Callithrix jacchus: one gene and its partners. The protein of the gene in region 1 purifies or fractionates together with the protein of each later gene. This does not show direct contact. Links are inferred from orthologs where the notes say so. Each region holds a gene or a part of one and is shown in the gene's direction. Other genes may lie near its edges. The genes, in order: WASF2, ABI2 and CYFIP2.

Region 1 (3,657 bases):
CTATTTTAGAAGGGAGCAAGAAGGTGGAGTGCTGTGGTTTCTTATCTGTGTGTGCAGAGAAATAACAGCTGTACACACACACACTTTTCATGTATATATGTGTACATATGCATACACATGAACCTCCACATGTATACACAGATTTCCAGTGGGTGGAAAGCTACTGATGCTTCCTAGAGAGTCCTGGGGAACTGGTGCAAAAAGAGGAAACAGTGGTAGAAATTCCCTCTGATGTACCAGGATATCTGAATATCCTCAGGGAGATGTCTGTGGCCATGCAGATCATTAGAAGTAATCAGAATCCCTGCTGCTATCACCTGTTCTTGCCCTGACAATGCAAATTCATCTACCAGGAATTGAAAGTAAGGCTAAAGTTCTTAAAAAGCCTGATAAGTAGAGAGGTGCCATTCAGGGGCATTGAAATGCTGGTATGGGAGAGGAAATATGCAATCGATTCAAATGACTTCTTGATTCCTTGGTGTAAAAACTGCTAACTGGTAGGTGTTTGGAATATTGGATTTGGTTGGGAGCTCATCTGTCTACTGACAGCTACTTGTCTTCATTTCTATCCCAGGGATGATGGAAAAGAGGCACTCAAATTCTACACAGACCCTTCATACTTCTTTGATCTTTGGAAGGAGAAGATGCTGCAGGACACCAAGGATATCATGAAAGAGAAGAGAAAGCATAGGGTGAGGGGAAAGGGGCCTCTGTTCTCCACATCAGTAGGCACGATTGTGGAGGGAGGGATAAAAAGGAAGCCAGTCTTATGTGAAGTAATCATTTTGAGTGGCTGCTTGCTTGGATGCCAGGTGAAACTCTTAAAAAAATGTGGCCACACCAAGCACAACGAAGATGAAAGTATAAATCACACCAAAAATGTGTTTGTTCCCCCCAGCACTATTAACAATTGAGTATATTCAGGCTGAGTTTTAGAAATTGACTTTTCTATTCACCATTTATTTCTCTTGCAATTTGCACCTGACTCTGCTGGACACGCAAGCTAGGCTAGTCCCTTCCCTTCCAGTTTTGCAGCTCATTTCTCAGAGATTAGCACAAGGTTCTGCAGTGTTTGATTTGCAACAGGAGCAGTTTAACACCTTCACTACTGGTTGGGTGGGGCCAGGGTGAGGGACTAGATGTAGGTTTTGGAGATTCTTCCTCCCCATAGAGTCTTCCTGATATGTATGTGACCTACCAGTTGCAACCTCATTCCCATTAAGCATGGCTGCTGGGAGGCCCAAGAGAGTGCCAGGGGCAAGAGCAGCTGCACAGGCTGAAAAATTCTTCATTGATTTTTTTTTAACTATTTCCTTATATATGCCCAGATAACCGTAGGTCTCATTACATCTCATCTCTCTTGACTGATCTTTGGGGCTGAGCAAATAATAAATAGCTGTTTACTAACTTCTAGCAATTAGAGCTTTTCAAAAATGTGAGTGAAAAGAGGTAGTGGGTTTCCCATTGCTGGAGGCATTTGAATGTGAGATTGAGCAAATGTTTCACCTAGGGGATGGAGTGGATTAGATGGCCTCTAGATCCCGGCAAACCCAGTAATTCTGTAAGTTATGTAGTTATTGTATGTTGTCTAGGCAGATCATCTCTTAGATATGCATCCATGAAGATGGGTAGAATTCTAATGAATAACTTTGGAAAATGTTCTGCAAAGACCTTCCTGTTCTTTTCATTATAGAAAGAAAAGAAAGATAATCCAAATCGAGGGAACGTAAACCCACGTAAAATCAAGACACGTAAGGAAGAGTGGGAGAAAATGAAGATGGGACAAGAATTTGTGGAGTCCAAAGAGAAGCTGGGGCCTTCTGGGTAGGTGATGCCTTTGTGCTGTTGGTAGCATTCTTTGAAGGGGCTGGGGACCTGGGGACAACAGTCTGACAGCTCTGGTGTGACACCTTTCACACCCCCTGAAGTCTGTCTGTGTGGCTTAGATCAATACCACTATTAATCAGCTACTTTAAAGTGCATCCATCTGGTGATTAAAATTTGCTAAATAAATCAAGAGACTCAGCAATTTAAATGAGGTGACTGGAGTGGTCTGGAAAAGAAAGCCCATGGCTCCTAGTGCCCTTATTCTGCGAGACACTGACACATCTCAGGGCCCCAGAGGAAAGACTGGAAAGGGAAGAAAAGTGGTCTTGGGAATCCTTTGCCTCCAGAGCATTGATTTGAAGGTCATGCCTAAGAACTGGGCATTTCACTCTGAGGGCTGGGGAGGGCCGGGCAAGGAAGTTGTTCACATCACTGAAGCAACTTTTCAGTCAGCTTTTGTCAGTCTTGGGAGAGAGGCTGGCCAAGGGACTGAATGCAAACCTCATAGACAGTGTGGGAAAGGTTGCTCGGCCAGTATTGAGGCTATATATCTCTGCGAAGAAATAAGAGGTGTCAGTCTGACCCCATTTCCCGATACCAAGTCACACTGGAGGTTTAAAGGGGGGAAAAAGATGGTTTTAAAGCTTGGTTTGATACTTACTCTGGTATCTGACCTGGTTGACATTCAAAGCCAAGTCACCATGACTGCTTGGAATGAATGTCACCCTGGTTTTTTCTCTAAATACATTGCATCATGGCTGTCAGAGAACCATGCCAGCCCGTGCTGGGTGTCTAGGAATGATAAAAGGAAAGAATTTAGTTGTTCTAGCTTTTAGAAATAACTCTACATGAAAATCTTGACTTTTAAAAATCTTGACACTTCTGACACTTGTTCTTCATGGATTAAGAGATCTATTTTAAAGAGTGATGAAGACGGTGAAAGGAAAAAATGAATCTTTTTCTTTTCTAGGAAATCACCCCTGAGGGTACCTTCATTACCTTTACCTCCCAGTAAAGGGGGCCATTTTGTTCCATGGACCCATCCTGTTCAGACAGGCAGTTGTCACAGGTTCAGTGACTCTAAAGCCAGAAGCTTGCGTGTTCAGAATGCCAGCTACCCATGTGTGTCTTTTTTTTGTGGAGTAGGAAGATGAGGATTTGCCTCCCATTTTCCTGTTGTCCGGGTGGTTTGGAGTTGGGCTGCATGGCTAGTCTATCTGGACGTGCCTGTTGGTGAACCTATAAAGAGACGTGCCAAGGCTCCAGGGCTCCAGGCCTTGGGGATTTTCCACATCAGAGAATCTTTAGATTCAGTTAGTTTCCTCCAACTCTGTTCTCCCTGGGGTCTGTTTTAGATGAGTTCTTTAGAACCCAACAATGGTGGAAAGAGGGCGGGAGGTGGAGCATAGCAGGCCAGATTTTGCTAGCTGATGCTTGTGTATTTGTGCTTGTTTGAAGTTTTGTTGTTGTTCACCCAGAACAAATTCACCCAAGGCCCAGTGCACTGAGGGACAGGTTTTCATGAGGCAAGCCCTAGCACCCTACTTTAATCGTCAGCTCATTTTGTTTGATAAGAGACCTGGCAGAAAGACCACGTTTACTACCTCATAGCACCCTGCATTCATCCTGAGCTTCATTTTGCAATCCAGTACCTCCTTGGCCTTCGAGTTCTCCAGAGGCTTGCTGACCTCAAAATCAGGCTGTGTGCCAGTCACATGTTTTTAACTCACTAGCCTGTGGGACTTGGCTTCACCCTTTGCCACAGGACAGACTCTGGTATTCAGGTATATCTGCACCTGACACTGGGGAGAGAATTTAAAAGAACTGCCG
Region 2 (3,657 bases), on another chromosome or scaffold:
GTTCCTGTAGTACCTTAAAACACACACTACACTCAATTGCAAATGAAGGTTTCGTTGTTCATGTCTCCATGACTTCTACCCACTGCCCTTTTCTCAGTGCTGAGCATAATATCTAGCCATATTAGTTAATGTTTGCTGAATAAATAGTATGAAGCATACTTGAAGGTTTTTGAATTTATGTCATTTCATAGTAGTGTAGCTTTTAAGATAATAGGCATTGGAATTTTTTCCACCTACTTTCTGTTGGAATACTTAATCTTGGAAAGCCAGTCTCCACATCTATAAAATGAAAAACACCACCTCCCACTGTAAAGATGAAATGAAATAATGCATTACAAAGGTCTAGCTGAACATGGAACGTTTTAAGTCAATTGTGGTGGTTTATTAAACTGGCAGTTACAAGGAAAGTAAAAATGAACAGTGGAAGCATCTTTGAGTAATTTTGTAGTGTCATTTCTCAAGGTGATTGTTTTTAAAGTTCCTTTGGATCTGTGGTTCTGTGCAATTGTTTAAAGTCCGTCTTTTTATCTTACAAATGGAAATAGGACACATTGCTTTTTCACCCAAGTATATAGTAAGTCACATATCTATATCTTTTGTTTGTTAATAAAAACTATTAGGATGAAAGATGTTCTGTTTAATGACTGAAGTTTTAAAGTTTATAAAGTAGATCAGTATAGAGGGGGCACAGCAGATGGGAAGAATACTGAGATAAGACAGAAGCATGGTGTTGCTGTGGCTGCCTCCCACCAGGAATCAGCAATCTTCAAAAATCCATTTAATTCAATTAGTAGACTTACATTAGAAATACTAAATAAATAGGATTGCTCAGAGGATCACATCTATACTGGTACCTCCTAAATGAGAATTAGTGCTGTTCATTAAACCTGAGGAGCTGATAAACACAGGTTTATTCATTTCATTGTGTTCAGCTGTGCTCAAGTATGTACCAACTATTTTGAAAGGTTAAGTCTCTGAGTTTGAAGATAATTTTTTTGATGTTACTGTGTATCGGTATCAGAGCTGTGGAAGCAGAACTCCATGGGAGATGTTTTAAATTACTCTGCTAGTATGCTTGGACATTTAGCCTGAAGAAATTCTAAATGATAAATTAGTCTGAACTAGAACAAATTCTATAAGTAAACAAACATCTTCATAGATGAAGTTAACCAAGTTTGTTATTTTTTTCCTCTTGAATTTGGTATTAGAAAAATTCATTAAGAAGAAAGTAGTGGATTACTAAAATTTTACTATTCCCTGGATTCATTCTAATTTAAGTGAAAAAAGATTTTAAAAATCTGTGAAATATGGTTTTCATGATCAGTATTTCTGATAACTTTTCCTTGAAAACAGTGTAAAGCTCAGCTATATTGTACCGATCTCTGTTTTGTTTGTTTCTGCTGTTTTTGAGATGCAGTCTTGCTCTGTGGCCCAGGTTGGAGTGCCGTGATCTCAGCTCACTGCAACCTCCATCTTGCCTGTTCAAGCAACTCTTGTGCCTTGGCCTCCTGAATAGCTGGGATTGCAGGCACCTGCCACCATGTGCAACTAATTTTTATATTTTTAGTAGAGACAGGGTTTCACCATGTTGCCCAGGCTGATTGCGAACTCCTGACCACAGGTGATCCACCTACCTCGGCCTCCCAAAGTGCTGGGATTACAGGTGCCAGCTACTGCGCCCAGTCATACTGATCTCTTTGAAAAGAGGATTTGTATTAGAATAAACAGGTTCCAGAGGCTCAGTTAATAATTATTTTTGTCTAAACTTTATTCAGTATCCATTAGCACTAATCCAAGGGCAAGAGAGGGAGAATATCATTCTTGGAGCTCTGGAACATTATAGTTGGTGGGAAGACTTCTCTTGCTCACTCATTTTTTGAAAGAATATTTTCAAGTCTAGGTTTATATTCCATGAACCTAGAAGCTTGGATGGGAAATACTAAACTTCGCATAATGTATAGTTTTGTTGTCAGCCTGCTGTGTTCTTAGTTTCAGATACACCACCTCCACCGCCACCTGTGGAAGAACCAGTCTTTGATGAGTCTCCCCCACCTCCTCCTCCCCCAGAAGATTATGAAGAGGAGGAAGCAGCTGTGGTTGAGTATAGTGATCCTTATGCTGAAGAGGACCCGCCGTGGGCTCCACGTTCTTACTTGGAAAAGGGTAAGGTTCAGAAGGGTATCTGGACAGATGGGAAGAAACCTCTACATAGAACTAATGAAATTTGCTGGTACTGAAGAGAATCTTGTTTATTTTTTGCTAAGTGAAGTTTTATTTATTTGTATTTGTGCCTTTTTATTTAGTTTACAAGGTTCATGATTTTAAAAGTTACACTGGTAAAATTCTGTGAATATTTGATTTTTAAAAAGTGATGGTTACCTATATTGTTCCTATTGGACATGTTTTTTTCTGGTTTCTGTAAGTAGTTTTCTGTTTCCTTTCGCCTCAGGAAGATTATTTTTTTCACCTCATTATTCCTACCTCCATGCTTTAGAACATTACTTTGTGTCACCTTTTAATTGGATACTTCAGTTTAAATGTCTCCATATGAAATACTCTGTTCCACGGAATAATGGTTTCTCAGTTTCTTTGCCAAGTAATATTGGACATTTCTTTTAGTGAAAAGTTTCTTTGATATTAGCTAACTACAGTGTAGCACTTTGGGACACAAGCTTTCAAATTCATCAAGACTAATCAGCTCAGAAAAAAATGTGTCCTGTTTGGAAGGAATTTTTCTTTTAAGAAAATCAAAGCTTCTAACCCACTGGGTCTCAAAGTTAGCTACACATTAGAATCACTTGGAGGACTTTTATAAAGAAATAAATAGTCTTCCACTTAAAGCCAAGAGAGAGCAACAGTAATCAGGTTTACCCTCCCTTCTAAAACAGGAATTTTAAAAAAAGCCCCGCAAAATAATGGTTTTCAGACATTGAACAACAGGCGCTGGTAGGCTCTGACCCCCAGAAAGAAGGAAATGATTTTTTCTCTTATGTAGCTACTATAAATGTCACATGTGATCAAGAAAGTAAAAGAAAACATGAACATGAGAGAGACGTGGAGTATATCTTTAAAAAGAGAAAGGGAAACCCACATATTTCTGGAGATAAAACACACTGCAGAGGAAAGTATTAGCAACCTTGATGCCATGACAATAGAAACTATCCAAAATAAGGCACAGAGAAAAAAGGGGGGAAAAAAGGCAAAAGGGAAAACATAGCAATAGATAATGTAAGACAAGATGAACTAGTCTTTATATATGTATAATTGGAGTCCCCAGGAGATGTGAAAGAAAAAAGATATGAAACCATCATAGAAAAAAATGTTTCCACATTTGATGAAAACTATCTTATGTATTGCTACCTAACAAATTATTCCCCAAATTTAGTGGGTTAACAAATTATTCCCAAAATTTAGTGATTTAAACAGAACATACATTATTTCCAGTTTCTCTGCATGGCCCACCTGGGCCCTCTGATTCAGAAATTCTTAACATGGCTGCAGTCAAGGTATCCAGCTGAGGCTGCAGTGATCTCAGGGCTTGACTGAGGAAGACTTTACTTCATGTTCACTCGTGGCTATTGGCAGGATTTAGTTCCTTGTGGGTTGTTGGCCTAGGGCCTCGGTTTCTTCACTGGCTGTTGGCCAGAGGCTGCCCAC
Region 3 (2,508 bases), on another chromosome or scaffold:
GGGGCATGAAGTATACTAAGTGTACCACCGTTCCCACCATCCCTCTCCAGAGCTTTTTCATTTTCCCCAACTCAAACTCTGGGCCTATTAAAAAATCACTCCACATTTTCTCCCCAGCCCCTGGTAACCATCATTCTACCTTATGAATTTGACTACTTCTAGGTACTTCATATAACATACAGTGTTTGTGTTTCGTGACTGGCTCAATTTAGTTAGCATGTCTTCAAGGTTCGTCCATGTTGTAGTGTATGTAGATTTCCATCCTTTTCATGGCTATGTAATATTCCATGGTGTGTACAGACCACATTTTGTTTGTCCAGTCATCCACTGACCCTTAGGTTGCTGTCACCTTTTGGCTATTGTTGAAAATGGTTAATTTTGGCTACTATGAAACATAGGTGTACAAATAACTCTTTAAATTTCTGCTTTCCATTCTTTTGACTATATACCCAGAAGTGGAATTGCTGGATCTCATGGTAATTTGATATTTTTGAGAAACTGCCATTCTGTTGTCCATTGTGGCTGCACAATTTTATATTCCCACCAGTAGTACACAAGAGTTCCAGTTTCTCCACATCCTCATCAGCACGTATTCTTTAATAATAGCCATCCTGATGGGTGAAAAAGTCATCATGTTGTGGTTTTAATTTGAATTTCTCTAATGACTGTCAGTGCCAAGTGCTATATTCATGTGTTATTGGCCATTTGTATATCTTCTTTGGAGAAGTGCCTATTCGAGTCCTTTGCCCATTTTTTAATTGAGTCCTTTTTGTTGAGTTGAAGTTTTTTTTTTTTTTTTTAAATCAATGAGAGCTTCTTATGTTGCTCAGGTTGGCCTTGAACTCATAGCCTCACCTCCTCAAGTGCCAGGACAACTGGCCAGAGCCACTGCAGCTCCCGAGTTGAAGTTCTTTATGTATTCTAGATATTACTTCTTAGATATGATTTGTGATTATTTTCTATTTTATGGGTTGTCTTTTCATTCTGATGGTGTCCCTTTGATGCACAAAAGTTTTCAATTTTGATGTCCAATTTTTTGCCTTTGCTTTTGATACCGTATCTCAAGATATTATTGCCAAATCCATATCATTAAAATTTTCCCCTATATTCTAAACGTTTCAGTTTTAACTCTCATGGTTAGGTCTCTGATCCACTCTGAGTTAATTCTTTGTATATGGTATAAGGTAAGGGTTCCGTGTTACTCTTTTGCATGTGTGTATCCATTTTTCCCGGCATCTTTTGTTGAAAAGGCTGCTGTTTCCCCCATTGAACAGTGTTGGCGCCCTTGTTGAAAATCATTTGATCATACATATAATTGTGTATTTCTGGGCTCTCTATTCTGTTTCATTCATCTGTATGTCTACCTTTATGCCAGTGCCACACTTCTGATTACTGTAGCTCTGTAGATGGTTTTAAGACTTGGAGAAGGTTTTCACCGTCCTTGATTGTCAGATCCAGGGGATTCCATTAAAGGACTTTAAGTGATATGATCATTGATGCAGGGGACTCTGGACCTCACTGACTTCTCTTACTCCCTTCTCTTTCTACTCCCTTTGTCCTGCCCTAATTCGAATATCCCCTTCCTTCTGTAGCCCCTCAAGAAGATGGCCGACCGGATCAGGAAGTACCAGATCTTGAACAATGAGGTTTTTGCCATCCTGAACAAGTACATGAAGTCCGTGGAGACAGACAGTTCTACCGTGGAGCATGTGCGCTGCTTCCAGCCACCCATCCACCAGTCCTTGGCCACCACTTGCTGAGCAGAAGGTCCTGCAAACCCTTACCTGGAGGAGGAAGAAAAGCAGGAGAGAGAAAGCCACAGCCAGCCTGCCACAGGATCCGACTGGACAGCGTGTGGGATGGACCTGGAAACAAGTACCTCCCCAAACACATCTCCACCACTCCCTAGGGCGGGGCCTGTGCATGCTCTCCCATGACATCTCCATGCTGGTTTCTCCATAGCATATATAAAAAAAAAAAAAAAAAAAAAGGAAAAAACAGGGCAGTGTGTGCTTTTTCTTTTCTTGCCCCCTCAACCCTTCACCCTTTCTCCATCCCATCGTCCCACCCATCTGTGGTTGCTTCCCAAGAGCTCCTTCCAAGATGGACACCTCGTACCCAGTGCCCATGTCTGACCCCAGGACTGAAGTCTCAGACTGAGAACAGATATGGCCTTCCCAGAGATGCCAGCCTGGCCTGAAAGGCGTACCTCAGCTTACCACTTAATCTCTCCTGGTGCCCTCCCTGCAGTGCCACAGGGGGTATCTTCTCCCACTCTGGCTGCCAGGGATTCTACCACATAGGCTTCCCAAAGCCCCATCCTAACTCCCCTCTCAGGGAAGTCCTAGAGAGAGGGCCAAAAAACATTCACAGGTGTATCATACTGTATGCAGGTGGGATAGGAGACTGGTCAGGCCTGCTGTGGGGAAGCAGTATGTATGAACACGGCCAGAAGTTTCACGGTCCAAACAGGATGCTTTCAGGCCATCTCAGCTGCTAGACGGTGAG

The links.
Region 2: the proteins of WASF2 (region 1) and ABI2 purify together in Homo sapiens (affinity purification with mass spectrometry; 3 studies listed by BioGRID and IntAct, counting the BioPlex papers as one, with this or other methods). This does not show direct contact. The link is inferred for Callithrix jacchus from reciprocal best matches to the Homo sapiens genes WASF2 and ABI2.
Region 3: the proteins of WASF2 (region 1) and CYFIP2 purify together in Homo sapiens (co-immunoprecipitation; 3 studies listed by BioGRID and IntAct, with this or other methods). This does not show direct contact. The link is inferred for Callithrix jacchus from reciprocal best matches to the Homo sapiens genes WASF2 and CYFIP2.

The regions. Positions count from the first base shown.
Region 1 is NC_133508.1:64,081,457-64,085,113, reverse strand, and holds part of WASF2 (actin-binding protein WASF2), read left to right. Parts: intron 1-574; coding exon 575-692; intron 693-1,693; coding exon 1,694-1,824; intron 1,825-3,657. UniProt on the Homo sapiens protein: Downstream effector molecule involved in the transmission of signals from tyrosine kinase receptors and small GTPases to the actin cytoskeleton. Promotes formation of actin filaments. Part of the WAVE complex that regulates lamellipodia formation.
Region 2 is NC_133507.1:124,709,483-124,713,139, forward strand, and holds part of ABI2 (abl interactor 2), read left to right. Parts: intron 1-1,989; coding exon 1,990-2,163; intron 2,164-3,657. UniProt on the Homo sapiens protein: Regulator of actin cytoskeleton dynamics underlying cell motility and adhesion. Functions as a component of the WAVE complex, which activates actin nucleating machinery Arp2/3 to drive lamellipodia formation.
Region 3 is NC_133503.1:20,165,355-20,167,862, forward strand, and holds part of CYFIP2 (cytoplasmic FMR1-interacting protein 2), read left to right. Parts: intron 1-1,592; coding exon 1,593-1,760; 3' UTR 1,761-2,508. UniProt on the Homo sapiens protein: Involved in T-cell adhesion and p53/TP53-dependent induction of apoptosis. Does not bind RNA. As component of the WAVE1 complex, required for BDNF-NTRK2 endocytic trafficking and signaling from early endosomes.